Linked DNA regions of Anolis sagrei. The protein of the gene in region 1 interacts with the protein of each later gene in a pairwise test. Links are inferred from orthologs where the notes say so. Each region holds a gene or a part of one and is shown in the gene's direction. Other genes may lie near its edges. The genes, in order: GOLGA2, PKP4, CUL5 and RITA1.

The links.
Region 2: the proteins of GOLGA2 (region 1) and PKP4 interact in binary tests that used the Homo sapiens proteins (3 or more experiments, as listed by UniProt). The two-hybrid records come from large-scale screens. The link is inferred for Anolis sagrei from reciprocal best matches to the Homo sapiens genes GOLGA2 and PKP4.
Region 3: the proteins of GOLGA2 (region 1) and CUL5 interact in binary tests that used the Homo sapiens proteins (3 or more experiments, as listed by UniProt). The two-hybrid records come from large-scale screens. The link is inferred for Anolis sagrei from reciprocal best matches to the Homo sapiens genes GOLGA2 and CUL5.
Region 4: the proteins of GOLGA2 (region 1) and RITA1 interact in binary tests that used the Homo sapiens proteins (3 or more experiments, as listed by UniProt). The two-hybrid records come from large-scale screens. The link is inferred for Anolis sagrei from reciprocal best matches to the Homo sapiens genes GOLGA2 and RITA1.

Annotation. Positions count from the first base shown.
Region 1 is NC_090031.1:16,805,314-16,813,053, reverse strand, and holds the start of GOLGA2 (golgin subfamily A member 2), read left to right. Parts: upstream 1-4,722; 5' UTR 4,723-4,857; coding exon 4,858-4,905; intron 4,906-7,740. UniProt on the Homo sapiens protein: Peripheral membrane component of the cis-Golgi stack that acts as a membrane skeleton that maintains the structure of the Golgi apparatus, and as a vesicle thether that facilitates vesicle fusion to the Golgi membrane.
Region 2 is NC_090021.1:201,404,774-201,412,519, reverse strand, and holds the start of PKP4 (plakophilin-4), read left to right. Parts: upstream 1-4,746; 5' UTR 4,747-4,899; intron 4,900-7,746. UniProt on the Homo sapiens protein: Plays a role as a regulator of Rho activity during cytokinesis. May play a role in junctional plaques.
Region 3 is NC_090023.1:26,179,664-26,186,858, forward strand, and holds the start of CUL5 (cullin-5), read left to right. Parts: upstream 1-4,192; 5' UTR 4,193-4,508; coding exon 4,509-4,532; intron 4,533-7,195. UniProt on the Homo sapiens protein: Core component of multiple cullin-5-RING E3 ubiquitin-protein ligase complexes (ECS complexes, also named CRL5 complexes), which mediate the ubiquitination and subsequent proteasomal degradation of target proteins.
Region 4 is NC_090034.1:45,200,599-45,208,206, reverse strand, and holds the start of RITA1 (RBPJ-interacting and tubulin-associated protein 1), read left to right. Parts: upstream 1-4,608; 5' UTR 4,609-4,788; intron 4,789-4,802; exon of another isoform or gene 4,803-4,831; intron 4,832-7,608. UniProt on the Homo sapiens protein: Tubulin-binding protein that acts as a negative regulator of Notch signaling pathway.

The DNA of each region.
Region 1 (7,740 bases):
TTCTGTGTGGGATGTTTGGCCCAATTCTATTGTTGGTGAGGTTCAGAATGCTCTTTGATTGTAGGTGAACTATACATCGTAGTAACTACAACTCCCAAATGTCAAGGTCTATTTTTTATTTTCTGTGTTCACATTTGGGCATTCTGTCTCTCCCCAGCAAAATGTCTTAGGCGAGTATTCTTGCCAAGTTTGGTCCAGATCCATTATTGTTTGAGTCCACAGTGCTCTCTGGATGTAGATGAACTACAACTCCCAAACTCAAGGTCAATGCCCACCAAACCCTCTCAGTATTTTGTGTTGGTCACGGGAGTTCCGTGTGCCAAGTTTGGTTAAATTCGATCGTTGGTGGAGTTCAGAATGCTCTTTGATTGTAGGTGAACTATAAATCTCAGCAACTACAATTCCCAAATGACAAAAGCATAATTTTTTGAGTGATGGTCACTCCTTGTGTAGTGAGACGTTTTGTTGCCAATTTTGGTGTGATTTCGTTCATTGGTTCTTTTGTTTTTAAGGTACTCATTATGCACAGAGCATTTTTAGATAGACAAGATAGATAGATAGAGAGATAGAGTGATCCATAGTGCTTTGGGACAAGCACTCCCATTACTCTCTCCCAATTTGGGGGATTCTGGGAGCTGTAATCTCAAAGCTCTGAATTGCCTTTAAACAGCCAAATCCTGAATTAAACAAGGTGAAAATTGGCTTCTACACTGTAATAATAATAATAATAATAATAATAATAAGGAGAAGGAGAAGGAGACGACTTTGTTTACACCCAGCCACCATCTCCCCAAGGGGAGTCAGAGCGGCTTACATGAAACCAAGCCCGACAACACATCAATAAAACAAAAAACAATAAGCAGAAACAATACAATTAATATAACTCATATATAAACAGTAACACACAAGGGTTTTAAAAAAAACCTATGGCCGGGCCAAATGTAATAGTTTAAAATTTTAAAAAAATAAACGCTGGGCATGAACAGAGATAGGATGTATCTGATAGGAGGGTTTTAAAAGAAATGAAGGTAGAGCAACCCAATGAGTAGTTACAAGTGCTTCGGAGGACATTTTGCTGGGGATTATTTCCTTTTTCACTGAAGAATGAATGCAAGTTTAACAACACTTGAAATACCATGGCTCAGTACTATGGAATCCTGGGAGTTTTAGTTTGGTATGGCACCAGCATTTTTAGGCAGAGAAGGCTCAAGACCTTGTAAAGCTACAACTCCCAGGATTCCATAGCATTGAAACATAAAGTAATGTCAAACTGCATTCATTCTACATCTTGAGTCAAATAAAAAAGGTAAGGTCTTAAAATCCCTAAATGCATAAATATAATAAATCTGATTTGTAACACTTTTAAGTTTTGAGCTGAGCAGTATTTCTTCATAAATGTGTGATACAGCCTCCAGGCAAGTATGAGTGGAGCTGGTATTTCAGGTAGAGTAAGCAGCCCTTCCCTCTGAGTCATTATTTAATAAGCTTTTCACATGGCTTGAATACTTTGGGAATGATATGATGAGAGGGAAGACAAGCACAGCTTTTCTCTGAGCCGATTTCACAGGGCTGTGGCTGCCCATCCTGCAAATCTGCAACCAAGGATCTTTTCAAAGCAGGCCTAAGACATTTTGTTGGAGAGAGACAGAGGCCTGGAAGCGAATGAGCTGGATGTTGAATCTTGCAATGGAATTAATATCCTCCACTGCAGACAAGACAATGATCAATGCAATTTCTCACTAACTGCGATCGGTCAAGATAATCACAAGAAGCTCTTGAGCCTTCTCTGCCAAAGAGTGCTGGGCCTGCCCGAACTACAATTCCCAGGATTCCATAGCACTGAGACATAGCAGTAAAAGTAGTGTCAAACTGCATTAATTCTACAGTGTAGAAACACACCAAGAAAGTACAGGTCGGAATAGGGTGTGTGCGTATGTATGGTTTTATGAATATACGTGTTCGTCAGGCCAAAATGATGGTGGGCCCAAGCGGAAAAGATGTGACAGACTGTCACTGCTATTCTCTGGCATCAATCATGCTGAAAGTAGGAGCATACAGTATGTCCTTCACAATTTCACATATGAAAACTGGTCGAACAACAGCAAAGTGTAGTCAAAATGAGAAACATGATTGAAAAGGAAGAATATATAAGCTAGGAGGGTTTGCAGCAGTTTCCTTTTGCCCAAGCCTACTGGGAAGGACAAGAGTTTTTTTTCAGACAGCTCTTTAATTAATTAATTTCATTTCTACCCCGCCTTTCTTGATCCTAAAGGGAAATCAAGGCAGCTTTCAAATCTGGCAAAAATTCAATGCTGCACAGGTAAACAATAAAACACATCTCATCAAAATATAAACAAATTAAACATATAAGCAATTAAAACACATATCAATCAATCAAACAAACAGATTAAAAACCTTATAAGAAGAAAGTTTTCAAGACTGAACCAGGAAGTGTTATGTTTTATGTAGTCTAATTGTTTTGTTGGTTTGAAGTATGTATCTTTTAATAAGTCATATATTTAATTCTATTTTAATATTTGTATGTTCCGAGTTTTATTTATTTATTTCATGCACTTTTACCCCTCCCTTCTCCCCCAAAGGGGAACTCAGGGCGGCCTCACAGAAGCACCATACGATGCTGTCAATTCGAAGTAGAATTAAAGCATTAAAAACCATTAAAACACATTATACAATTCATTAGACAGTAGATTATACATGCCGGTAAAATCAAATCCAAGTCTAAGCAGATTCAATGTCGTAAATATCCTAAGTCTTTTTTCCAATTGCCGCTATTTGATTAATGAAATGCCTAGTCCCAGGGCTAAGTCTTCACTTGTCTTCTAAAGGACAATTTACATATTTGTATGATTTGTTTAGTGTTAGCCGCTTTGATACTCCTTTGGGAGAGAGAAAGCAGGATATAAATAATAACAATCATCTTGCTGGGTTTTAATATATTTATTTATTATTTATTATTTATTTGATGCACTTATTAACCGCCATTCTCAGCCCTTACGGGCGACTCATGGCGGTGTACAGTACACATAAAAAGACAGTTACAAAGGCCAGTATCAACAACATATAACTATACGACAAATACAAACTACATAAAAATCCGCTTCGTCTCTTAGTAGAATCATAGCCAGTCTCATCTTCCTTGTACCATTCCAGTTCTCATTACCGTAATGTTGTTGCTTAGCACTTAATTAAATGCCCTCTCGAACAGCCAGGTCTTAAGGCTTTTTCGAAAGGACATGAGGGAGGGCGCCTGTCTGATGTGTGCCGGGAGAGTGTTCCACAGCCGGGGGGCCACCACCGAGAAGGCCCTCTCCCTCGTCCCCGCCAGCCGTGCCTGTGATGCAGGCGGGATCGAGAGAAGGGCCTCCCCAGACGATCTCAAGGTCCTCGTGGGCTCGTAGGCCAAGATGCGGTCAGAAAGGTATTTTGGGCCGGAGCCGTTTAGGGCTTTGTAGGCCAAGACCAGCACCTTGAATTGGGTCCGGTAGCAAATCGGCAGCCAGTGGAGCTGGGACAACAAGGGCGTTGTGTGCTCCCTGCTACCCGCTCCAGTTAGTAACATAATTATAGATATTGTATAATTTGTTTAGTGCTAGCCGCTTTGATTCCCCTTTGGGAAAGAGAAAGCAGGATATAAATAATAATCATCTTGCCGAGTCAATTGAGTGTCACCCATTCTTGTACTTTTAACTCAGTTTGCAGCAACTGGAAAAAGATTACAAATAAGGAAAATTGGGAGAAGAATGAGACTGAGACATTTAAAAAAATAATTTATTTATTTATCATATTTATACCCCGCATTTCTTACCCCGAAGAGGACTCAGGGCAGCCTTACAGACTGGAAACAATTTGATGCCATATAAAAAAAGTCTTCAGGCTAAACATGCCCAGCTCCTTAAGCCGCTCCTCATAGGGCTTGTTCTCCAGCCCCTTGATCATTTTAGTCGCCCTCCTCTGGACACATTCCAGCTTGTCAATATCTCTCTTCAATTGTGGTGCCCAGAATTGGACACAATATTCCAGGTGTGGTCTAACCAAGGCGGAATAGAGCATGGGGAGAATGACTTCCCTAGATCTAGACACTATGCTCGACAAAACTTCCTTGGAAACGTTATGTTGACACTCTCAATTACCAATAAATACCTCAGATTTTACTTCTCTGTACAGTGTTTGGCTGTTTTATTTTCCCCCTGACTGAATGGAATGCAGGAACGCACTTCATTCGTGAGGGAACTCTGGACGAGGAGGCTTCGAAATGGCGCGAAGGCAGACTGCGCCTGCGCACTCCCTTCCGCCTGGGAAAGAGCCTGTCAGAGGCCGCGCCTGCGCAGTGCGGCTCCCCACTAGGCCCGGGCGGAGCCTAGATTGGCTCTTGGGGGCGGGGCCTGTCAGGGCTACGCCTGCGCAATGCCGCTACCCAATCAGTACGGCTCTCCACTAAGCCCGGGCGGAGCCTAGATTAGCTCTCTCCGCCTTGGGGGCGGGGCCTGCCAGAGTTGCGCCTGCGCAGTGCCGCTCCCCAATTAGGCTCTCCCCGTCATGGGAGCGGGGCCTGTCAAGGCTGCGCCTGCGCAATGCCGCTTCCAAGTTAGGCCCGGGCGGAGCCTCGATTAGCTCTCCCCGTCGTGGGGGCGGGGCCTGCCAGGGCTGCGCCTGCGCAGTGCCGCTCCCCAATTAGGCTCTCCCCCTCTTGGGAGCGGGGCCTGTCAGGGCCGCGCCTGCGCAATGCCGCGTCCAAGCTAGGCCCGGGCGGAGCCTCGATTAGCTCTCCCCGTCTTGTCAGCTGGCGGCGCTGTCCCCGCCCTCCCCTCCTTCCTCCGGGCTGACGTGGCCGGGGACATGGCGGACGGGAGCAGGCAGAGCAAGCTGGCGGCGGCCAAGAAGAAGGTAACGCGGCAAGGGAAGGCAGGGGAGGCCGAGAGGAGTTTGCCTCAGGCTCGAAACAGCAACTACGACGACGCCAGGCGGCCTAGGCCTCTAGGCCCAGGCACGCCCCTAGTTGCCCCCTTCTCAGCCAGGCAGAGGCCTAGCCCCCTCCGAGGCGCCTCTCCGGCCTAGGCACGCCCCTCGGAGGCCGGAAGACCCCAGCCCGCCCCGTAGTGGGATTGCTCCGAAGAGAGAGGCCGCGCCTCCCTTCTCAAGGCCCACATTGTGAGAGCCGTTCAGCAGTGGAACTCTCTGCCCAGGAGTGTGGTGGAGGCTCCTTCTTTGGAGGCTTTTAAACAGAGGCTGGATGGCCATCTGTCAGGGGTGATTTGAATGCAATATTCCTGCTTCTTGGCAGAATGGGGTTGGACTGGATGGCTCAGGCTGGAGCAACCCACTCAGGGTGTTTTTGGGTTGCTGTGAGTTTTCCCGGCTGTCTGGCCATGTCCCAGAAGCATTCTCTCCTGACGTTTTGCCCAAATCTATGACGGGCATCCCCAGACATTGTGAGGTCTCTTGGAAACTTGGCAAGTGGGATTTATAGATCTGTATCTATATCCACAAAGACAAATGCAAGAATCATAGAGTTGGAAGAGACCTCATGGGCCATCCAGTCCAACCCCATTCTGCCAAGAAGCAGGAATATTGCATTCAAAGCACCCCTGACAGACGGCTATCCAGCCTCTGTTTAAAAGCCTCCAAAGAAGGAGCCTCCACCACACTCTAGGGCAGAGAGTTCCACTGCTGAACAGCTCTCACAGTCAGGAAGTTCTTCCTCATGTTCAGATGGAATCTCCTTTCTTGTAGTTTGAAGCCATTGTTCCGTGTCTTAGTCTCCAGGGAAGCAGAAAAGCAAGCTTGCTCCCTCCTCCCTGTGTCTTCCTCTCACATATTGATACACGGCTATCATGTCTCCTCTCAGCCATCTCTTCTTCAGGCGAAACATGCTCAGCTCTTTAAACCGCTCTTCATAGGGCTTGTTCTCCAGACCTAAAGCAAATTAAAACAATTAAAGCAATATTAAACAACAAAACAATAAACAATACACCAAAACACAATAAAACTGGACCAGGCCAGAGTAATGGGTACAGAATTAAAAGTGCTGATGTGACAGGTGGTATATAAGGATTATAGGGTAAGTGGAGTGTGCAGTGCGCGGCAATCATAGTTCTAATAAAGTGCTTCTGGGACTTGGTATTGGAGATTTCCTATTCTGGGAAGGCACATCGGAACAGCCAGGTCTTCAAGTTGTTTCTAAAGACTGCCAATGTAGGGGCCTGTCTAAGATCTTTGGGGGGGGGGTGTGTGTTCCAGAGTCGGGGGGCCACCACAGAAAAGGCCCTGTCTTGTGTCCCCACCAAATGCGCTTGTGATGCAGGCGGGATCACAAGCAGGGCCTCTCCAGATGAACGAAATGAACGTGTGGGTTCGTAAACGGAGATGCAGTTATTCTATTCTGACATGCACTTATATGCATCTGTCTGTATTTAAATGCTGAAACAAAGTGACAGAGCTCAGAGAAACGTGAAATAGTTTCTTAGTTTGAGAGGTGTTTCTTGGGAGGAAGCAGATCCTTGGGCATCTCTACATACTCCACTTAGTCAGAAAAAATGAAATGCAATGATACAGACCGGTGGACAATGCCAGGCTCGATATCAGTATGAAAAAGATTTTGGAGTTTTCGTGGGCAACAAGTTAACATGAGCCAACTATGTCGTTCGACAGCTAAAAAAAGAATGGGATTTTGGCCTGCATCAGTAATTATAATAATAAATTTTATTTGTATCCTGCCACCATCTCCCCAAAGGGGACTCAGAGCGGCTAACAAGAGGCCAAGCCCAAAATTATAGTACAGCAAGATAAAATAGAAAGAAGCAAAATTAAAATCAAAATAAAAAATCATGAAATAACAAAATAAAATAAACAATCACAAAATAACATGATAGAGAAATAGAATGCAGTGGGCGGGTCAAATGCACTAGGATAAAATTGATAAAACCCTGGATGAGATAAGTGATGGGAGAATGTCTTTCTGAGGGAAGAGCTCAAAAAGAATGAACTATGGGGTTAGACCAGGGGTCCTCAAACTTTTTAAACAGAGGGCCAGGTCACAGTCCCTCAAACTTTTGGAGAACCAGATTATAATTTGAAAAAAATGAATGAATTCCTATGTGCACTGAACATATCTTATTTGTAGTGCAAAAAAAACCCTTTAAAACAATGCAAAAATTAAAATGAAAACAATTTTTACAAATATAAACTTATTAGTATTTCAATGAGAAGTGTGGACCTGCTTTTGGCTTATGAGATAGGATTGTTGTTGTTGTTGTTGTTGTTGTATGTTTTCAAGGAATTTCAGACTTGAGGGCCAGGTACATGACCTTGGAGGGCCGTATTCGGCCCCCGGGCCTTAGTTTGAGGACCCCTGGGTTAGACCTTCATTAAGGGCAGGGGAAAGTGCATCATGAAGATGGAACTGTAGTTGGAACAGACAAAATATGGAATATATGTTCACTTGCCAAAGGCATATCAGAAGAGCCAAGTTTTTAGGTCTTTCTTAAAAGCTGCCAGGGTAGGGGCTTGCCTAATCTTACTAGGTAGCGAGTTTCAAAACTGAGGGGCCACAGCAGAGAAGGGTCTCTCTCTCGTCTCCACCAGTTGTACTTGACATAAAAGTGGCAGTGAAAGGAGAGCCTCCCCAGAGGAGGTTTATGGAAGGAGCTGTGGTCATGAAGGTAGACGAGTCCCAAACCGTTCAGGGCTTTGTAGGTGATAACCTGCACCTTGAATTAGGAC
Region 2 (7,746 bases), on another chromosome or scaffold:
CACAAATGAAAAATGCTCCATTCTCGTACGCCTGTAATACCCCTTGTTCTTAAACAAGTTCCTTTCCCTACTTTGCTTTACTGGGCGTTCTTTTCTCACTGCTGCATTTCCTCTCCTCTCTCTCTTTTACAAAGCTTGTGAATGTTTAATATTTAATTTGACAATGGCTATGGTTGCACTAAGCATAGAATAGCTACTACTCAAATATATTCAGAAACATCTTAGTATCTTGAAAGGCAAATTCTCAAGAGGGTTGAAGGAAAGCAGTACAGTAATGCACTTGGGGGTGCATCTACATGGTGGAATTAATGCAATTTGACACTGCCATGGTTCAATACTACAGAATCATGGGAGTTGTAGTTTGGTGAGGTGCCAGCACGCTGTGGCAGAGAAGGCTGAATACCTTGTAAAGCTACAGCTCCTGTGACTCCATGGCAATGAATCAGAGTAATGTAGTGTTATACTGCATTAATTTTACCGTGTACATGCACCATGTGTTTAAACAAGAAAGAATTAACTTCACCACTCAGTCATATGGTTTGAAGAATGAGAAACAATTATATATAAATAAACTAATTGCCCTTGTATATATTATACTTAACAAACCAAAATGATGTGGAAAATGAAATAGTAGAAAAACGTTGGTCTCAATGGATGCAAACATAGTGCTAGTCTTTGACATATTGGAAAAATAAAATATAACTAGTGGACACAAATATGGCCACCTTGGGGTGGGAGGAGACTGGTTTTCCTATATCAGATAGTGTATACCTGCATGTCAGGAAGTTGGACTGGATGGTCCTTGCAGTCTCTTTGAACTCTATGATTCTGTAACTTAAAAGGCACTGTTCTTGTGAAGTGACCATGCATGTGCAGTTACATACATCTGATCAGAGACAAGATACGCACATACATACTTTAAGAGAACAAAACATCCACGAAACAATAAAAATGTACAAAATATGCACATAAAACACATATGCTTCCAAAGCTCCACTGGCTTCTTCATTAGGCAAAAGTGTTAACAATCATACAAGAAAAAGAAAAAATGAGAAGTTAGACTCATAGGTCTGTGTTCTCTCAGGGTTTTTGTTGTTGTCAGTTAAGATGTTCTGGAGAGATATCAATGGAATCAGAGGACCTTTGTAGTCATGTGAGCACTGAAACTAAGGCCCAATCCACACCACCATAATACAACTTCAAATGGCATTTTATGACAGTGTAGATGTGGCCAAAAAGCTGTAAAATGAGGGCAATAAAACTGCAACTCCATTAACATCAGAAAAAATAACTTTCCTTTCTGAACTGCTGATTGTTTAAAATACATCAAAAATAGGGTTTCCATTAAGTGTATTGGCTATTACTTGTGTGTGTGAATATGTCACCTGTCTACTTATGGTGACTTTATACATTTCATAGGGTTTTCTTAGGCAAGGAATACTCAGAGGTAGTTTTACCAGTCTATTCCTTTGAAATATATATAGCCCATAGGACCGTATGTGTTGGCTGTCCCATCCAAGTATTAATCAGGCCTGACCTTCCTTCGCATGCAAATCAGATGGGACCTGTTACCTTTAGTAAAGTACATCTCCAAAATCTTCAACAAAATTTGTGGGAAGGATACACACACATGCACACACACAAAGTAAATAAAATATATCTCATATATGTTAGGGACAAATACAAAAATACAGCAGAGTTGAGGGAAAGAAAAGGAACAAAGTGGATTGGCTGTTGCTAGGTGAAGTGGCCCTCTGTAACATACTTGGGAAAGAAAGGGAGGGAAGTAGATTGGCTGCTGCTAAGTGATGTGTATGCAGAGAAGGTAGGGAGGAAGGAAAACAAAGGGAAACAAAGGAAGGAAAAAGGAAAAGAGTGAGAGAGAAGAAAGAAAAAGGAGGGAAGGAAGAGAAAGGAAAGAGGAGAAGCAGGCATGTAGCGGGGGGGGGGGGGGTCTTGAGGGGCTTCAGCCCCCCCCCTGAAATTCTTATGGTGGTTCGCGAAAAGGCCTTATTGGTGCATTATTTAAACTGTTGTTTATTCATATCATGATCTGATCACCATACTCAATATATCCCATATGCATGGAGAAGTGGGTAATGATACAAAAGGTTTGCTAGGGTAGACCCTTTTTCACTCAGACACAGCCCCCCCCCCCAAACTCAGCCCCCCCAAAAAACCCTGACAAAAACTCAGCCCCGCCCCTCCCCCCAAATCGAAATCCTGGCTACGGGCCTGGGGAGAAGGTATGAGGGAAGGGAAAGAAAGAGAAAGGAATGGGAAAAAGGGGGGGGGGAGGGAGGGAGGTTAGAAAGAAAAAGAAGCGAAGAGAAGTGAAGGAAGATAAAGGGAAGAAAGAAAGAAAATGTGTATGAGGGAAACAGCAGAAGAAGGAAAAAAAGAGCTGCAAAGAAAATGCAAACCCGGACAACAGTACTATTTAAAAGGCATGTTGCCTGTGTGGCTTTAATCTATTTGATGAAGACGTTTCTGAGGATGCATTTATACTGTAGAATTAATTCAGTTTCACACCACTTTAATTTTCATGGCTCAACGCTATGGTGGCATGGGATTAGAAATTTTACTAGGCATTTAATCTTCTCTGCCTGAGTTCTGCTTCCCATCATCATTAGCCGTATTTATGTATTTTAATTGTTTTGTAACCCACCTCGAGCCATGAGGAGAGGCGGGTAAGGAATATTATCATTATCATTATTATTACAGGATTCCATAGTGCAGAGCCATGGCACTTAAAGTGGGGTCAAACTGCATTAATTACACAGTGTAGATAACTTTGGCCCTCCAGGTGTTTTGGTCTTCAACACCCACAATTCCTAAATATTAGGAATTGTGGGATTTGGCGTCCAAAACATCTGGAGGGCCAAAGCTTTCCCATGCCTGGTGCACCCTGAGTGGTGAGGAAACAGTAGAGTTTACTTAGGGCACAAGTTCCTGCTGTTATTGGTTCCCATTCTCCCCCCAGTTCCTCCCTGGGGTGCATCTACATCAGGCAGGGGCAGACTTTGGCCCTCCAGGTGTTTTGGACTTCAACTCCCACAGTTCCTAACTGTTATGAATAGTGAAAGTTGGAGTCCAAAACAACTGGAAGGCTCAAGTCTGCCCAGGCCTGATATAGATGCACCCCGAGAATAGTGGAGGAAACACTAGACCAGTGGTTCTCAGCCTTTGGGTCCCCAGATGTTTTGGCCAACAACTCCCAGTAATCCTAGCTAATTTACTAGCTGTTAGGGGTTCTGGGAGTTGAAGGCCAAAACATCTGGGGACCCACAGGTTAAGAACCAGTGCAGCAGAGTTTACTTAGAGCAGAAGTTCCTGCATTTCTTGCTGTTATTGGTTCCCATCCTCCCCCATTACCTCCCAGTTCCTCCCTGGAGTGCATCTATACCAAGCATGAGCAAACTTTGGCCCTCCAGATGTTTTGCACTTCAACTCCTACAATTCCTAAGTGTTAGGAATTGTGGGAGTTGGAGTCCAAACAACCTGCAGGGACGAAGTTTGCCCAGGCCTGGTGTAGATGCATCCTGAAAGTGGTGGGGAAGCAATAGAGTTTACTTAGGGCACAAGTTCCTGCATCTCTTGCTGTTATTGGTTCCCATCCTCCCCCATTACCGCCCTGGAGTGCATCTACACCAGGTATGAGCAAACTTTGGCCCTCCAGGTGTTTTGCACTTCAACTCCCACAATTCCTAAGTGTTAGGAATTGTGGGAGTTGAAGTCCATGCATCTCTTGCTGTTATTGGTCCCCATCCTCCCCTCATTACCTCCCAATTTCTCCCTGCATCTACACCTGGCAGGGGCAAACTCTGGCCCTCTAGGTGTTTTGGACTTCAACTCCCACAATTCCAAACTGTTAGGAATTAGGCTTGGGCAAACTTCAGCCCTCCAGGTGTTTTGGACTCCAACTCCCACAATTCCTACAGGTGTTTTGCACTCCCACTCCCACAATTCCTTTTAGGAATTGTGGGAGTTGGAGTCCAAAACACCTGGAGGGCTGAAGTGTTTTGGACTCCAACTCCCACAATTCCTACAGGTGTTTTGTACTCCAACTCCCACAATTCCTGTTAGGTGTACATCAGGCCTGGGCAAACAGTGTACATCAGTGTACACTGTACATCAGGCCTGGGCAAACTTCGGCCCTCCAGGTGTTTTGGACCCTAACTCCCACAATTCCTGTTAGGAATTGTGGGAGTTAGAATCCAAAACACCTGGAGGGCCGAAGTTTGCCCAGGCCTGATGTACACTGTAAATTGGAACGCAGCTTGAGCAGACATTGACTGCCATGGCTCAATCCTATGGAATAGTGGGAGCTGTAGCTTCAGAAGGCCTCGAGGTTGCTGCTCGGCCGAAGAGTGCTGGTGCCTCACCAAATTTACAACTCCCAGGATCCCCCAGCATGGAGCCTTGGCAGTTGAAAACGGTGTCAAACTGTAGATGACTGTAGCGGGGTGTGGAGGTGCGAGAGAGCCCCTCTCCCTGGGCCGGGCCTGACCTGAAGGAAGTGCAGCTTCCCCCCTTCTTCTCCTTCTCCTCGCCTGCTCGCCCGCCGGCCTCTTCACAGCATCGGTAACCCTGGCAACCTCAGCTGGCTCCGCCATTGGGCGGTTTGAGCCCCGCGGCGGGCCAATGGCGAGGCGTCTCGCGGCGCGCTCCTCCAATCGGGGCGAGGCGCAGGGCAGGGCGAGGCGCTGACGTCTGGCGGAGGGGCGGGGAGAAGCAGGCGGCGAAGGAAGGGAGGGAGGGAGGAAGGAAGGAGGGTTTCGTGTTTCTCCTCAGCGGTGGCGGCACCGGGACCATGGGCGCCCCGGGGTAGGGCCCTTCCCGGCCGGCGGGGAGGCGGCGGTGGCGGCCCCTCCGCGCCAGCGAAGACTCGGCGCCGCGGTGAGTGAGGGAGTGAGGGAAGGAAGAGCGTGAGGGAGGGAGGGAGGAGGGGAGGGCGCGGGGCCAGGTGGGTCGCCTCCCTGCATCCTGAGGCAGCTCCTCGCCACCCTCACCCCCGCCTTGCCCTCTCCTTCTTCCAGCAACTTCCCTCCCTGTGGGAGACCAAGGGGAAGAAGGCACGAGGCATCCAGCCTGGCTCGCCTCTTTCCCATCCTTTCCTCCAACTTGCCCCTCCTTGTGGTCATATTATTACTTTATCGCATTACTAGTATTATATTGTTGTTAGTGTAATTATTACCCCCCATTTTGACCTCCCATTGCGAAACAGGAGAGTTTCAAGTGCCCCCTCATTCTCTCAAAACTTGCCAACCTCCCTTGAAATCCTCGTGGTATCATCATCATCATCATATCATTATTTTTTATTACATTTACATGTATTTGTTTCAAACAGGACGGTTTCAATTGCCCCCTCATTCTCTCAAAACTTGCCAACCTCCCTTGAAATCCTCGTGGTATCATCATCATCATATCATTATTTTTTATTACATTTACATGTATTTGTTTCAAACTGGAGGGTTTCAAGTGCCTCATAATTCTCCCAAAACTTGCCAGCCTCCCTTGAGATCCTTGTGGTATCATCACATCATTATTTTTTATTATATTTACATGTATTTGTTTCAAACAGGAGGGTTTCAAGTGCCCCATCATTCTCCCAAAACTTGCCAGCCTCCCTTGAAATCCTCGTGGTATCACCATCATCATATCATTTTTTATTATATTCAAATGTATTTATTTCCCATGGTCAATGTAATGTGTCTCCTTGGTTTGGTTATGCTTAGCACTGCTTCCTCTCTGCTTATCTTGTCTCCTTTTGCTTCCTTTCTCATCCCACTTTACGACTCCCAAGATCCTTTCTTTTACCCTCTAAGTAACCTTTGCATCGCCCCTCTCCCCCACTATATCTTATTTTTATTATATTTACGGTGTAATTATTTCTCATCGTCAGTGTGTCTCCTTGGTTTGGCTCTGCTTAGGACTGCCGCTCCTCATAAACATTGCTGCTTGTCTTGTCTTTTCTCGTTTCCTTTCCCATCCCACTTTCCAAGATCCTCTCCTTTACCCTCTAAGTAACCTTTGCATTGCCCCCCTTCCCACTATACCTCCTCCTTCCTTATCTTCCCATCCTAAGCATAATTCCCCCTCCCCCCTTTCTCTTTATCTTCAGGGTGCTTTCCCCCCACCCATTTCCCTATTTTACTTATTTTCTTTTGTAAATCAGCAGTGGGTGCTCCATCTTATCATCCTGACAATATTCTGCTTCCATCAACTCTGCCTTCTGTGTCTTCCCATCCTAAACATTTTATTTATTTATTTCTTATCCTAAGAGTGTGTTGTGGTGGAGCAATGGGTTAAACTCTTGTGCTGACAGGGCTATTGACCAAAAGGTCAGCGGTTCAAATCCGGGGTGCGGGGTGAGCTCCTGTCTGTCAGCTCCAGTTCACCATGTGGGGACATGAGAGAAACCTCCCACAGTGTGGTCAAACATCCGGGTGTCCTCTGGGCAACGTCCTTGCAGACAGCCAATTCTCTCACACCAGAAGCGACTTGCAAATTCTTAAGTTGCTCCTGGCACAATTTTAAAAAATTCTAAGGATGCCCATATCCATCAGTTTCTTGTTCAATTTTTTTAATATAAATAGGCTCCACCTTAGCTGTCCTCCTATCTCCTGTAACAACTTCCTTTATGCAGATTCCGCCACCTCCTTTTTATTACTTGTCTCCTTTGCCCTTCCTCGTGTAGTTTGGGCTTACTGGTTGAAATGGGTACCATTCTATACAGCACCCCACGAGTCTTTTACTAGAACATAGACTCTCTTAATGTTTCCATTTGTCCTGAAATAACTCCCTCCCCACTCATCTCACGATATTTATCTCCCCTGAAATTCCTCTCATTGTAACTTGCTATTCTTCCTCACCAGGAATTTACCTGATGTCCTTCACTCCCTGAACATTGCCTTTTGAAAAAAAATCCTGGCCTTTCTTTAATTTTTGGCCCCTTGTTAAAAGGGATGCGCTCTAATTTCTGTAAAGCTTTTCACTCCTTATCCTGTATCTGATATTGCCTTTTAGTTATCTGTTTACTCCTGTGTGCCTTTTTCCCATTCCTTGAGTGCCAGTAACAGCTCTCCTCCTGACTAGTATGCACAAACCTGTTCATGCCTCCCAAACCCTGACAATTCGCTTTCCATCCCTTCAATTCTATTTCCATTCCTTTGCCTCAGCCTTTCTCTCCTTGTCGTTGCAGGCATTTCTTCCTGCTTCTTCGGCTTCTTAAAAGCCCTTCCCCTCATTTCCCTGTTCCCTCGGCTCAGTCTTGGCCCTCCAAAAACCCTTCTTTCTTAACCTGTATAGTCTACCCTCACTCGACCTCGCCCCATCTTGTATTTCCCCCATTTGCTTGTTAGAGCTCCTTGCATCTAAGCTTGAGGAGAGAATCCATAGAGTGCCAGTGGCATTTTCTCTTTCTCCCCGCTCTCTTTCTCCCTGTCCTGGCTTTCCTCTGAAGCAGACCAGACCTCACAACTCCTATGCCCCTGCAATCACTTTGTAGGGGGAAGACTGGGAGGGGTAGTGGCTGCTTGCCTTTTTGGCTGCATGTTTGAGGAGTGCGACAGACGGACGGAAGCGGTTGGCTCTCTGGGCGAATGGGAGGGCAGGTGTGTGTGCTTGTGTGTGGGAGGGGGCACGTAGTTTGCTCCTGGAGCTTTCCGATAGTGCAGGAATGTGAGGAATGCCTAGGAAGACTGCTGCAACAGATCCGCTCCTTGCCCAGCTCTCTTAACAGCC
Region 3 (7,195 bases), on another chromosome or scaffold:
GAAAAACAATACATCTACACTCCGTTTTAGCTGCCATGGCTCAATGCTATGAAACACAAGCAGAAAGAGTGCTCATAATCAGACTTCTAGACCTAGATCACTTAGGCCCCGTCTCCATGTCACCTTTTGACATATGGAGACCTCGTGAATTTCATAGAGTTATCTTAGGCACAAAATATATAAGGTGCACCTACACCGTAAAATTAATATAGACAAACTGTAATGGTTTAATGCTATGGAACCATGGGAGTTGCAGTTCTACAAGGACTCTAGCCCACTTTGCCAATAGTGCTGGTACGTACAACTCCCATGACTCCACAGCATTGAGTCATGGCAGTTAAAATGGTAGCAAACTGCAATAATTCTACAGCGTAGGTACATTCACAGAGGTGATTTTTGCCAGTTCCTTCCTTGGAAATCGATAAGGTGGGCAAAAGTCACAAATAGTTTTCAATATTTCATAACTCCTTAATTTTTTTGTTTTGTAGGTTACAATATCATAGCATCACATGGAGTACATTACATGTAAAAAAATCTAATTGGGTAAATTATATCCAATACCATGGCATCATAATAGATAGAGTAGGCCAAAAGACACAAAGGAATTTCAATATTTAATAACATACATATGATACATCTGTATTATTGAAGGCTTTCACAGCTCGAATCACAGGGGTGTTGTGTGGTTTCCAGGCATTTTCTCCTGACTTTTCATCTGAATCTGTGGCTGGCATCTTCAGAGGATATGTTTATTTATTTATTATTTATTTACAACATTTGTATACCGTTTTTCTCACCCCGAAGGGGACTCAAAGCGGTTTCCACATAGGTAATGGCAAAATTCAATGCCAGCACAAACAATTACAATTGTACAATTACAGTTAGACATAAATCAAATTAAAATACATCCATAAACAGTAAAATTCTACAGTGTAGATGCACCCTGTGTGTGTATATGTGTGTACATGTATATACATCTAAACATACATAAATATATGTGTATATATGTATATGTATGTACTTGTATACACATATACACATTATACATATGTTTGTATACATGTGTGTACGTGTATATACATATACATATTATATATGTGTGTATATGTGTTTACATGTATATATTAACATTATACATATGTGTGCACATATGTGTGTACATGCATATACACATACACATTATACATGTTATGTGTGTCCATGTACACAGATATATATATATATATACATTATACACATACATGTATATGTGTATATATGTATACATGTGTGTATATTTGTGTTTATGTGTATATACATATAAGCATACATAAATATCTACATGTGAAACATTTACACACATACATACATATACACATACATAAATGTATATATGTGTGTACATGTATATACATATACACATACATAAATACATGTGTGCATGTATATACATACACACATTATACATATATGTGTATACATGTGTATAATGTACATATACACATTATACATAAATGTGTGTATATGTGTAGATGTATATACATACACTTTATACACATGTGTGTATACAAATATATGTGTGTACATGTATATACATATACACATTATATGCTTACTTACTTACTTACTTACTTACATACATAGGCGATCCCTCGTTGTCCGAGTAGGATTGTCTTCCAAGATCGGTGTATAAGCGGTGACTGTGGAGCCCTATTCTTGATCTGAATCTTCTCCCGCAGTGAGGGCATTGGTTTCCAAGTGGAAAGTGGTCCCAGTCAGGGTTGGCTTGGCAGGCCTTCCTTTTCACATGTTTCTCTCTTTTGCCCCTTCAGATTCTACAGCACTTCTGGTCACAGCTGACCTCCAGCCAGGGCTTCCCAGTTCTCAGTGTCTATGCCAGAGACATTATATGCATACAGATGTTGTTGTTCATTCGTTCAGTCGTCTCCGACTCTTCGTGACCTCATGGACCAGCCCACGCCAGAGCTCCCTGTTGGCCGTCACCACCCCCAGCTCCCTCAAGGTCAGTCCAGTCACTTCAAGGATGCCATCCATCCATCTTGCCCTTGGTTGGCCCCTCTTCCTTTTGCCTTCCACCTTCCCCAGCATAATTGTCTTCTCTAGGCTTTCCTGTCTCCTCATGATGTGGCCAAAGTACTTCAACTTTGTCTCTACTATCCTTCCCTCCAATGAGCAGCCGGGCTTTATTTCCTGAAATATGGACTGGTTGGATCTTCTCGCAGTCCAAGGCACTCTCAGCACTTTCCTCCAACACCACAGCTCAAAAGCATCGATCTTCCTTCGCTCAGCCTTCCCTAAGGTCCAGCTCTCACATCCGTAGGTGACTACAGGGAATACCATGGCTTTGACTAGGCGGATCTTTGTTGCCAGTCTGATGTCTCTACTCTTTACTATTTTATCGAGACTGGACATTGCTCTCCTCCCAAGAAGTAAGCGTCTTCTGATTTCCTGGCCACAATCTGCATCTGAAGTAATCTTTGCACCTAGAAATACAAAGTCTGTCACGGCCTCCACATTTTCTCCCTCTATTTTCCAGTTGTCAATCATTCTTGTTGCCATAATCTTGGTTTTTTTGATGTTTAGCTGCAACCCGCTTTTGCGCTTTCTTCTTTCACCGTGATTAGAAGGCTCCTCAGCTCCTCCTCGCTTTCGGCCATCAGAGTGGTGTCATCTGCATATCTGAGGTTGTTAATGTTTCTTCCAGCAATTTTCACCCCAGCTTTGCATTCATCCAGCCCCGCACATCGCATGATGTGTTCTGCATACAAGTTAAAAAGGTTGGATGAGAGTATGGACCAGTACAACCAGAGATATACATGTATACACATGTACATATACACTTCATACATAAATGTGTGTATATGTATGTACATGTATATACATACACACTTTATACACATATGTGTGTTTATACAAATATATGTGTGTACATGTATACACATATACACATTATATATGTTGTGTATATGTATGTACATGTATATACATACACACTTTATACACATATGTGTGTTTATACAAATATATGTGTGTACATGTATACACATATACACATTATATATGTTGCCAGTTGCGCCCGTACCTTGGGAAGTCTGACTTGGCCACGGTAGTCCACGCTCTGGTTACATCCCGGATTGATTACTGCAATGCGCTCTACGTGGGGTTGCCCTTGAAGACTGCCCGGAAGCTTCAGATGGTCCAGCGCTCGGCGGCCAGGTTGCTAACGGGAGCGGCACTCAGGGAGCATACCACTCCTCTGCTGAGCCAGCTCCACTGGCTGCCAATCCGCTACCGGGCACAATTCAAGGTGCTGGCTTTAGCCTATAAAGCCATAAACGGTTCTGGCCCTGCTTACCTCTCCGAACGCATCTCTACCTATGAACCGACCAGAACATTAAGATCGTCTGGGGAGGCCCTGCTCTCGATCCCGTCTGCGTCACAGGCGCGCTTGGCGGGGACGAGAGACAGGGCCTTCTCAGTGGTGGCCCCTCGGCTATGGAATGCCCTACTGGCAGACATCAGGCAGGCACCTTCGCTGCTGACGTTTCGGAGAATGGTTAAGACCTGGCTTTATGAACAAGCGTTTGGTTAAGCAGTGCAACCAATCATAGGAAGACGGTAAATGGAACATAGGAATGGCACAAGGATTATGAAAACGGATCTGATTTCAACTGAGGCGTTATGTTATGTTTGTCTTGTTGATCTGTCTTGTTGATTGTTAATTGTTGTGGATTGATGCTGTTGATCCTGTTTGTTGCATTGTTATGTTTTAATTGCACTGACACTGTTTGATACTTGTACCATGTAAACCGCATTGAGTCGCCTGTCAAGGGCTGAAAAAATGCGGTATAGAAAAAAAGCAAATAAAATAAATAAATAAATAAATAAATATGCATATAAATATAAATGTGTGTTATTATGTTTAAATACTGAAACCCCGTTGTGACTTTTGGCCCACCTTGTGAAACATCACCTGGTCCTTCTTGGCGGCCTCCCACCCAAGTACTGACCAAGGCTGACCCTGCTTAGCTTCCAAGAGCTTAGCGATGACGTCATCAGCGGGGAGGGAGGTTAAGGCAGAATTCTGCGAGGAAGAAGAAAAAAAGAGTGTCAGGATGACCTCCGGCCGGCAGGGGTCGCTGTGGTGGGAAGCCTCAGCGGCGCACACTCTCCCTCCCTCCCTCCCCTTCCCTCGGTGCGGCGGGGGCTTCCGGCTCTGGGGCGCCGCATCATGTGGGCTCTCGCGGAGCCGGGCCGCTGCGAGACGACGGCTCTCCTGCGAAGCCTCCTCCGTGAAAGAGGCCATGAGGCGCTGAGGGGGAAAGAGGAGGCGGAAGCTAGTGCCAGCCCCTGACCGAGCGGCGAAGCATGTAAAGGCAAAGGAAGAGAGGAAGCCGCCACCGCCGCCGCCGAAATCTCATCCGCCGCCGCCGCCGCCGGCCTGGTCAGGCCTCTCTTGTGCGCCTGCGCGGGCCCCCCTCCCCTTGCGTGCTGTGGAGGGGGGCAACATGGCGACGTCTAATCTCTTAAAGGTGAGAGGAGGAGGCGGCTGGGCCTGGAGGAGGGTTGAGAGGTTATTATGTGGAGAGGAGGAGGAAGAGAAGAGGGAAAGCCAAGAAGGGGAAGTGAGGAGGGAAGAAGAGAGGCTGTGTGTCTGTATGTAGATTATATCTATCTATATTTAAGTGCTGTGTTCGTTTTGGGTGACATCATAACTCAAAAACCGCTGGACTCATTGCCACCAAATTTGGCCACAAGGCACCTACTAACCCAAGGAGTGATCATCAGAATTGATTTTGTCACTTGGGAGTTGTAGTTGCTGCGATTTATAGTTCACCTACAATCAAAGAGCATTCTGAACCCCACCAACTATAGAACTGAGTCAAACTTATCACACAGGACTCTCCTGACCAACAGAAAACACTAGAAGGGTTTGGTGGGCATGGGCCTTGTATTTAGGATTTGTAGTTCACCTACATCCAGGGAACACTGTGGACTCAAACAATTAAGGATCTAGACCAAACTCCATATGCCAAATATGAACACAGATGGGGTTTGGGGAAAATAGACCTTGACATTTGGGAGTTGTAGTTACTGAGATTTAAAACACTAGAAGGGTTTGGTGGGCACTGGCCTTGAGTTTAGGAGTTGTGGTTCACCTACATCCAGGGAACACTGTGGACTCAAACAATTAAGGATCTAGACCAAACTCCATATGCCAAATATGAACACAGATGGGGTTTGGGGAAAATAGACCTTGACATTTGGGAGTTGTAGTTACTGAGATTTACAGTTCACCTAAAATCAAAGAGCATTCTGAACCCCACCAACTATAGAATTGAGCCAAACTTATCACTCAGCACTCCCATGACCAACAGAAAACACCAGAAGGGTTTGGTGGGCATGGATCTTGAGTTTAGGAGTTGTAGTTCACCTACATCCAGGGAACACTGTGGACTCAAACAATTAAGGATCTAGACCAAACTTGGCACGAATACTCCATATGCCAAATATGAACACAGATGGGGTTTGGGGAAAATAGACCTTGACATTTGGGAGTCATGAGATTTATAGTTCACCCACAATCAAAGAGTATTCTAAACTCCACCAACAATAGAATTGGGCCAAACTTGGCACACAGGCCAAGAGAAAACACTAGAAGGATCTGATGGCCCTTGAGTTTAGGAGTTGTAGTTCACCTACATCCAGAGAGCACTGTGGACTCAAACAATTAAGGATGTAGAACAAACCCGGCACACAGAACTCCCATGACCAACAGAAAATACAGGGAGGGTTTGGTGGGCTTGAATTTCAGAGTTGTAGTTCACCTACATCTAGAGAACACTGTGGACTTAAACAGTTAAGGATCTAGAGCAGTGGTTCTCAACCTGTGGGTCCCCAGATGTTTTGGCCTTCAACTCCCAGAAATCCTAACAGCTGGTAACTGGCTGGGATTTCTGGGAGTTGTAGGCCAAAACACCTGGGGACCCACAGGTTGAGAACCACTGATCTAGAGGGTTTGGTGGGCATGGACCTTGAATTTAAGAGTTGTAGTTTACCTACATCCAGAGAACACTGTGGACTCAAAACAGTTAAGAATCTAGACCAAGCTTGGCATGAATACTCCATATGCCAAATATGAACACAGATGGGGTTGGGGGAAAATAGATCTTGACATTTGGGAGTTGTCATTACTGAGATTTATGGTTCACATACAATCAAAGAGCATTCTGAACCCCACCAACGATAGAATCGGGCCAAACTTCCCACACAGAACCTCCATGACCAGCAGAAAATACTGTGTTTTCTGGTGGTCTTTGGCAACCCTTCTAACGCCCCCTTGTGACCCCCCCCCCCAGGGTCCCTACCCCCAGGTTGAGAAATGCTGCCTTAAGGCCATCCACTCCCAACTTCCTTCAAGAAAACATAATCAAAGCCCTCCTGATAAAGAGCCATTAAGCCATAGATACAGATAAGGTATATATGATTCACACACACAAATATGTATGTATATGACAGATATAGTATATATTTGAAAGGGAATCCTTAAAGAAGGACAATTATATGTTGCTTGTTCCAGAGTAGGCAGTCCAGACAATCTCCACATCAACACTGACAAAGAAACAACAAGAAATACTGTTTACCCACAAGCATAAAGAAATTGCATCAACCAACACTTTCTCCCTACTTTATTTTCCAGCTCACCAGACTGGGCCACAGCAACATGTGGCAGGGGATGGCTATATGTAGAGATCTGTGCTTGGGCTGAGGCCTCTTCCACACAGCTATATTCAATCTCACATTGAACTGGAATATGTCAGGGTGGACTTAGATAACCCAGTCCAAGGCAGACATTGTAGATTATCTGCCTTGATGTTTTGGGTTGTATGTCTGTGTAGAAGGGCCCTGAGCCCACACTGCCATATAATCCATTTCAGTGTGGATTTTATACAACTGCATGGAAGGATCCTGAGATAATTCTGATACATTGAAGTTCTTAGAATCATAGAGTTGGAAGAGACCTCGTGGGCCATCCAGTCCAACCCGCTATCAAGAAGCAGGAAAAATCACATTCAAAGCACCCCTGACAGATGGCCATCCAGCCTCTGTTTAAAAGCCACCAAAGAAGGAGCCACCACCACATTTTGGGGCAGAGAGTTCCACTGCTCTCACAGTCAGGAAGGTCTTCTTCGTG
Region 4 (7,608 bases), on another chromosome or scaffold:
TTCCAAGGAGATTGCCTCGTTGCCACCATTTTGTGGATGTCCAGGGAGCATGCTGATCTTGGGCAACTGTCGCAGTCACCCCAGAGGAACCCCAAGATGTCAGCAGGCTGCCTGAGTCCTTGGTATGGAGGGATCTGTAGTTCTCTCCACGGATCTCAATCTTCAACGTTGGCAGTCGGCTCATAAGGACTCTGTGGACACTGGGACACCTTTTCCCACTTGCCTTTTCTGGATTTCACAACTTTGATCAACTTTCCCAAACTTTCAAGAACTTTTAAAAACTTGGTGGACTACCTTGCATGAATAGGGATGATATGATTTCATGCTTATGAACTTATTCCTTTGGACTCTAGTGGGTGGGATGAGTGTATTATGAAATCCCTTTATGCTTCATTGTCCCTTATGTGTCTCCCTTGAACCTTATGTATGTGTCTGTATATGAAATATGGGAAGCCACCCTTTTCGTGACCCCAGTGAAACACCAGCCTTGGGAAGTTCATTTCCTAGGGCAAATTTCCATTGATTCTAGGTTTTCAACAAAGACTATTTACATGATAATAACCAGGCTCTCCCTCAGTTTCGGATCATGACCACTTGGGAAAGGGCCCCTGGTAAACTAGTCATCTATCAACAAAGAAACATCCTGCCTCCAAGGGAGGCCAGGATATCCCAGCCTTCCTCCCTTTTGTCATTTCCCCTTGGACCAAGAAAATCTACCAAATTACAAAGTGATCCAATATCTAAGACAAGGAAATACCAGGGCTTGGCAATCGTGCCCGCTATAAAGATACGCTCTTGATGGCCAAACAATATAACTGGACAGGGGCAAACAGATCCCAACACTGTCCCTCCTTCAATAAGGAATTCACACCACTTTGGCACTTATAGTGTTTGAGGGGATGTCTCTTGATTAAAACCTTCGCTGCCACCATAAACTGAAGAATCAGGAACCCTCTAGCTATTTAGAATGTTAAAAGGCTTTTCTAGGACCACCAAACACTGTGTATTAAAAAGGGCTTCTTTGAGGGGAAACAGGAGAGGTTGATTTAAAAAGAAAAAAAGACTGAATCTACAAATGGCACTTGACTCAGGCTTAAATTTTAAAAATAACAAGAAAGGTTTATTGAATACAAGTTACAGAATAAAAGTGAATGCAGTTGTAGAGTCTTTGCTGTTACAAATTAAAGTGTTCTTGGTTCTTAGAAGCGTAATGGTTGCTTGAGAGAATGGTTCTATTCTTTGTTACAATTCCTAAAGAAAACCCAGCTATTTCCTTTCTAAAATAGCTGTAACCAGTCTGCCACAGCCTACTTTGCTGTGCAAACTACAGGCAAGCTGCCTATTCCTAACAGAGACTCCTAAAACTCTAATCCTACTCTAACATCACCCAGAACTGAACTGAACTGTCAAAATAAGCTTCTCTCTTTCCCTCCAACTGGCTAACTCCGCCCCCCTTTTCCAAACCAATCCTGGCTGTTGCTGGGCTGGCACAGGCCTAGGCCACTCCCCCTCTCTGAACTGGAGTCTTCCCTAAACTAAGATGGCTCCTGCCGCTCTCTGCCAGGCCTTCCTAAGCTGAAACTACCTAGCCTGTCTCTTCCTAGGCCCTGCCACCCCCCAGCTGGCAAGGTAAGGGATCTTTACACCCGCCATATCTGCATATCGCAACCTTTCAAGAATACCCAGCCAGCTTGAGGAATCTTTTCTTTTGATTAATCGCCAGCCATTTGGACACATTGAGCCATTCTAATTCAATCATCTGGACATTCCTTTCATTGTTCTTCCCAAGGACCGCCTCCTCCGCTCCTATTGGTCGAAAGCTCGAAGTGGCACTGGCTTTCTGATTCACTGAGGCGCAGTCAAGCTGGCTGCGCCTCCTCTCCAGCTGATGACAACAACCAATCAGGAGAAGGCTGGCTGAGGGGTGGGAAATTTGAACTTTGACAGCTCTGTTTCTCTATAAAAATGTACTGCAATGTATTGAATGTATGTCTCTCCTGACGAACTATCGCGGTTTGACATCCGTACCAGCTGGATGAAATAAATACAACTCGGTGGCTTTTCTTCAATTTTGGTGAGATTTATTGGGAAAAATCTGGGGAAAATTCTATTGGCTTTTCCTTTGCTCGCCAGAGTTCCGGATCCTCATTTTTTAATTTTTTTATTTAGAGCTTTTATAACCCGGTCTTCTCGACCTCCGAAGAGGGACTCAGGCCGGCTAACAGCAGAAAATTCAACACATATATAATGAACATAATAGCATCATAATACATTAATACATTAAAATACAGATCATACAATATCACACAAAAGCCATGTTTTTACCAGCTTTCTGAAAGTCAGGAGGGAAGAGGCGGATCTAATCTCCAATGGGAGAGAGTTCCAGAGCCGAGGGGCCACCACCGAGAAGGTGCTGTCCCTCGTCCCCACCAGACACAATTGTGAAGGTGGTGGGACCGAGAGCAGGCCCCCTCCAGAAGATCTTAACAACCTTGATGGTTCATAGGAGAGAATCCGTTTGGACAGGTAAACTGGGCCGGAGTCGTTTAGGGATTTATAGGTCAACACCAGCACTTTGGTGGGTCTTAGGGCTCCGTTCTCCTGGGTGAGTCTCCAAACTCTAGCTCAATATCATTAGGCTGGCAGAAGCTGGGGCTGACAGCGGAAGCTCATGCCGCTTCCCAGATTTGAACCTGCAACCTTTCGGTCAGCAAGGTCAGCAGCCCAGCAGTTTAACCCACTGCGCCACCAGTGTCTCCCTATTGTATAATATAATAATATAATATTTTATTGTATTGTCGAAGGCTTTCATGGCCGGAATCACTGGGTTGTTGTAGGTTTTTCCGGGCTATATGGCCATGTTCTGTATCAGACACTGATATTTTATTTATTATATAATACATTATTATTTTATTACATTATGTGATACTAGCTGTACCCTGCCACGCGTTGCTGTGGTCCAGTCTGTTGATCTGGAAAATAAAGTAATGAGAAAGTGTTGGTTTCTAATATACGTAATTTCTTTATGCTTGCAGGTAAACCGTACTTCTTGTTTCTTTGTCACTGTTGATGTGGAGAGTGTCTGGTTTGCCCACCCTGGAACATGCAACATATCATTGTCCTTCTTTAAGGGTCCCTTTCAAATCTATGATACTATATCTCTCTGTGTGTGAATCATATGTATCTGTCTGTCTGTCTATCTATCTAATCTATGGCTGGATGGCTCTTTGTCAGGAGGGTTTTGATAACGTTTTCTTGCCCTGAAGAAGGGAGTTAGATTGGATGGCCTTAAGTATTTTCTGTTGGTCATGGGGGTTCTGTGTGGGAAGTTTGCCCCAATTCTATCGCTTGTGGGGTTCATCATGCTCTTTGATTGTAAGTGAACTGTGAATCCCAGTGATTACAACTCTCAAATGTCAAGGTCTATTTCCCCCAAACTCCATCTGTGTTCATATTTGGGTGTATCGAGTGTTTGTGCCCAGTTTGGTCCCGATCCATCATTGTTTGAGTCCACAGTGCTCTCTGGATGTAGGAGAACTACAACTCCCAAACTCAAGGTCAATGCCCACCAAACCCTTCCAGTATTTTCTGTTGGTCATGGGAGTTCTGTGTGCCAAGTTTGGTTCAATTCCATCATTGATGGAGTTCAGAATGCTCTTTGAGTGTAGGTGAACTATAAATCCCAGCAACTACAACTCCCAAATGACAAAATCATAATTTTTTTGAGTGATGGTCACTCCTTGTGTGGTGAGATGTTTTGTTGCCAAATTTGGTGTGATTTCGTTCACTGGTTCTTTTGTTTTTAAGGTACTCATTATGAACAGAGCATTTTTATATATATAGAAGATAGATAGTCATATAATAATATACTGTTATATTGTATTGTATTATTCGATCCCATAGCATTGGATCCTTATTATATATTATTATATAATAATATTATATTGTATTATATCATAATATAATATTAAAAAGTATTATATTAATTATGTTATGCTATATTATATTATATTATATTATATTATATTATATTATAAAGCCATGGTATTCCCTGTAGTCACCTACGGATGTGAGAGCTGGACCTTAGGGAAGGCTGAGCGAAGGAAGATCGATGCTTTTGAGCTGTGGTGTTGGAGGAAAGTGCTGAGAGTGCCTTGGACTGCGAGAAGATCCAACCAGTCCATCCTCCAGGAAATAAAGCCCGACTGCTCACTGGAGGGAAAGATACTAGAGACAAAGCTGAAGTACTTTGGCCACATCATGAGGAGACAGGAAAGCCTAGAGAAGACAATTATGCTGGGGAAAGTGGAAGGCAAAAGGAAGAGGGGCCGACCAAGGGCAAGATGGATGGATGGCATCCTTGAAGTGACTGGACTGACCTTGAGGGAGCTGGGGGTGGTAACGGCCGACAGGGAGCTCTGGCGTAGGCTGGTCCATGAGGTCACGAAGAGTCGGAGACGACTGAACGAATGAACAACAACAATATTATATTATATTATTTGTAGAGTTTAAATGTACCCTGAGATATTTTCATGAGAGATCTGGTGTATGACACCCAAGCCTAAAAAAGACAGTCATTTATGTTGCAGAGACGCACAGCCTGAAATATAATATTTTGTGTGTGCATGAAACCAAGCCATCAGAAAGCAAAGCAGAGAAGCCAGCAAGTTCCTGTCTTGCTCTAATCAAGAGCCGCGAATGGGAACCGGAAGTGAAGAGTTGTTCCTCGTCTTCTTTCATGAGGAGCTGATCGGTGGCCGAAAGAGGGGCCAAGGAGGCGAGCAAACCGTAAGATCGGGGCCGAGGGGGGGATCGGGGCCGGGCTGAAAAGGTAGGACTGCAAAAAGAAAGGGAAGAGAATGCCTCAGGCCGTGTGCAAAAGCCAGAGATGGCTTGGATTGGCTGGTTTTCTGCTGCTTTGCAGTCGTTTCCCAGGGAAACGAGATGCAAACAATGAAAAGGGTGCATATGCTGCACGGTCGAATGAGGACAGCTTGACCTCCCCTGAACTGCTTTGGCTCCAGATAGGGGATCCTGCGAGTTGTGGTTCGGCGGGGAAGACTCAAGACCTTGGGAAACTAGAACTTGCAGGAAGACCTATTACCCTGAGCCCGGGCAGTTTAAATGGCGCGTCTACATTGTGGAATGGATGCAGGTTGACCCCATTTAAACTGCCTGGGCTCAGGGTAATAGGTCTTCCTGGAAGTTCTAGTTTCCCAAGGTCTTGAGCCCCCTCTGGGTGCTTCTATGCTGCTGAAGACCTTGGGACTCAAGACCTTGGGAAACTAGAACTTACAGGAAGACCTATTACCCTGAGCCCGGGCAGTTTAAATTGGGTCAACCTGCATCATTCCACAATGTAGACGCGCCCTATAGTGAACTCAGTGCAATGGTGTCCTGGGAGTTGTAGTTCTCCAAGGCCTGCTAAACTATAACTCGCAGGATTCCATACCCCGGAGGCCTGGCAGTTCAAGGGACATCAAGCTCCATTCATTCAGCAGCACAGATGCACGCAGAGGAGGCTCAAGACCTTGGGAAACTAGAACTTCCAGGAGGACCTATTACCCTGAGCCCGGGCAGTTCAAATTGGGTCCACCTGCATCCATTCCACAATGTAGACGCACCCTATGGTGAACTCAGTGCAATGGTGTCCTGGGAGTTGTAGTTCTCCAAGGCCTGCCAAACTATAACTCGCAGGATTCCATACCCTGGAGGCCTAGCAGTTCAAGGGAGATTAATCTGCATTCATTCAGCAGCATAGATGCCCCCAGAGGGGGCTCAAGACCTTGGGAAACTTGAACTTCCAGGAGGACCTATTACCCTGAGCCCAGGCAGTTTAAATGGGGTCAACCTGCATCCATTCCACAATGTAGACGCGCCCTATGGTGAACTCAGTGCAATGGCGTCCTGGGAGTTGTAGTTCTCCAAGGCCTGCCAAACTATAACTCGCAGAATTCCATACCCTGGAGGCCTGGCAGTTCAAGGGACATCAAGCTGCATTCATTCAGCAGCATAGATGCTTCTGCTCCAGGGTAATAGGCCCTCCTGGAAGTTCTAGTTTCCCAAGGTCTTGAGCCCCCTCTGGGTGCTTCTATGCTGCTGAAGACCTTGGGACTCAAGACCTTGGGAGACTAGAACTTCCAGGAAGACCTATTACCCTGAGCCCAGGCAGTTTAAATTGGGTCAACCTGTATCCATTCCACAATGTAGACGAGCCCTATGGTGAACTCAGTGCAATGGCATCCTGGGAGTTGTAGTTTTCCAAGGCCTGCCAAACTATAACTCGCAGGATTCCATACCCTGGAGGCCTGGCAGTTCAAGGGACATCAAGCTGCATTCATTCAGCAGCATAGATGCTTCTGCTCCAGGGTAATAGGTCCTCCTGGAAGTTCTAGTTTCCCAAGGTCTTGAGCCCCATCTGGGTGCTTCTATGCTGCTGAAGACCTTGGGACTCAAGACCTTGGGAAACTAGAACTTCCAGGAAGACCTATTGCCCTGAGCCTGGGCAGTTTAAATGGGGTCAACCTGCATCATTCCACAATGTAGACGCGCCCTATGGTGAACTCAGTGCAATGGCATCCTGGGAGTTGTAGTTCTCCAAGGCCTGCTAAACTATAACTCGCAGGATTCCATACCCTGGAGGCCTGGCAGTTCAAGGGACATCAAGCTGCATTCATTCAGCAGCATAGATGCTTCTGCTCCAGGGTAATAGGCCCTCCTGGAAGTTCTAGTTTCCCAAGGTCTTGAGTCTCCTCTGGGAGCTTCTATGCTGCTGAAGACCTTGGGACTCAAGACCTTGGGAAACTAGAACTTCCAGGAAGACCTATTACCCTGAGCCCAGGCAGTTTAAATTGGGTCAACCTGCATCCATTCCACAATGTAGACGCGCCCTATGGTGAACTCAGTGCAATGGTGTCCTGGGAGTTGTAGTTCTCCAAGGCCTGCTAAACTATAACTCGCAGGATTCCGTACCCTGGAGGCCTGGCAGTTCAAGGGACATCAAGCTGCATTCATTCAGCAGCATAGATGCTTCTGCTCCAGGGTAATAGGCCCTCCTGGAAGTTCTAGTTTCCCAAGGTCTTGAGTCCCCTCTGGGAGCTTCTATGCTGCTGAAGACCTTGGGACTCAAGACCTTGGGAAACTAGAACTTCCAGGAAGACCTATTGCCCTGAGCCCGGGCAGTTTAAATTGGGTCAACCTGCATCCATTCCACAATGTAGACGCGCCCTATGGTGAACTCAGTGCAATGGTGTCCTGGGAGTTGTAGTTCTCCAAGGCCTGCTAAACTATAACTCGCAGGATTCCGTACCCTGGAGGCCTGGCAGTTCAAGGGACATCAAGCTGCATTCATTCAGCAGCATAGATGCTTCTGCTCCAGGGTAATAGGTCCTCCTGGAGGTTCTAGTTTCCCAAGGGTTTGAGCCCCCTCTGGGAGCTTCTATGCTGCTGAAGACCTTGGGACTCAAGACCTTGGGAAACTAGAACTTCCAGGAAGACCTATTACCTTGAGCCCAGGCAGTTTAAATGGGGTCAACCTGCATTCATTCCACAATGTAGACGCACCCTATGGTGAACTCAGTGCGATGGCATCCTGGGAGTTGTAGTTCT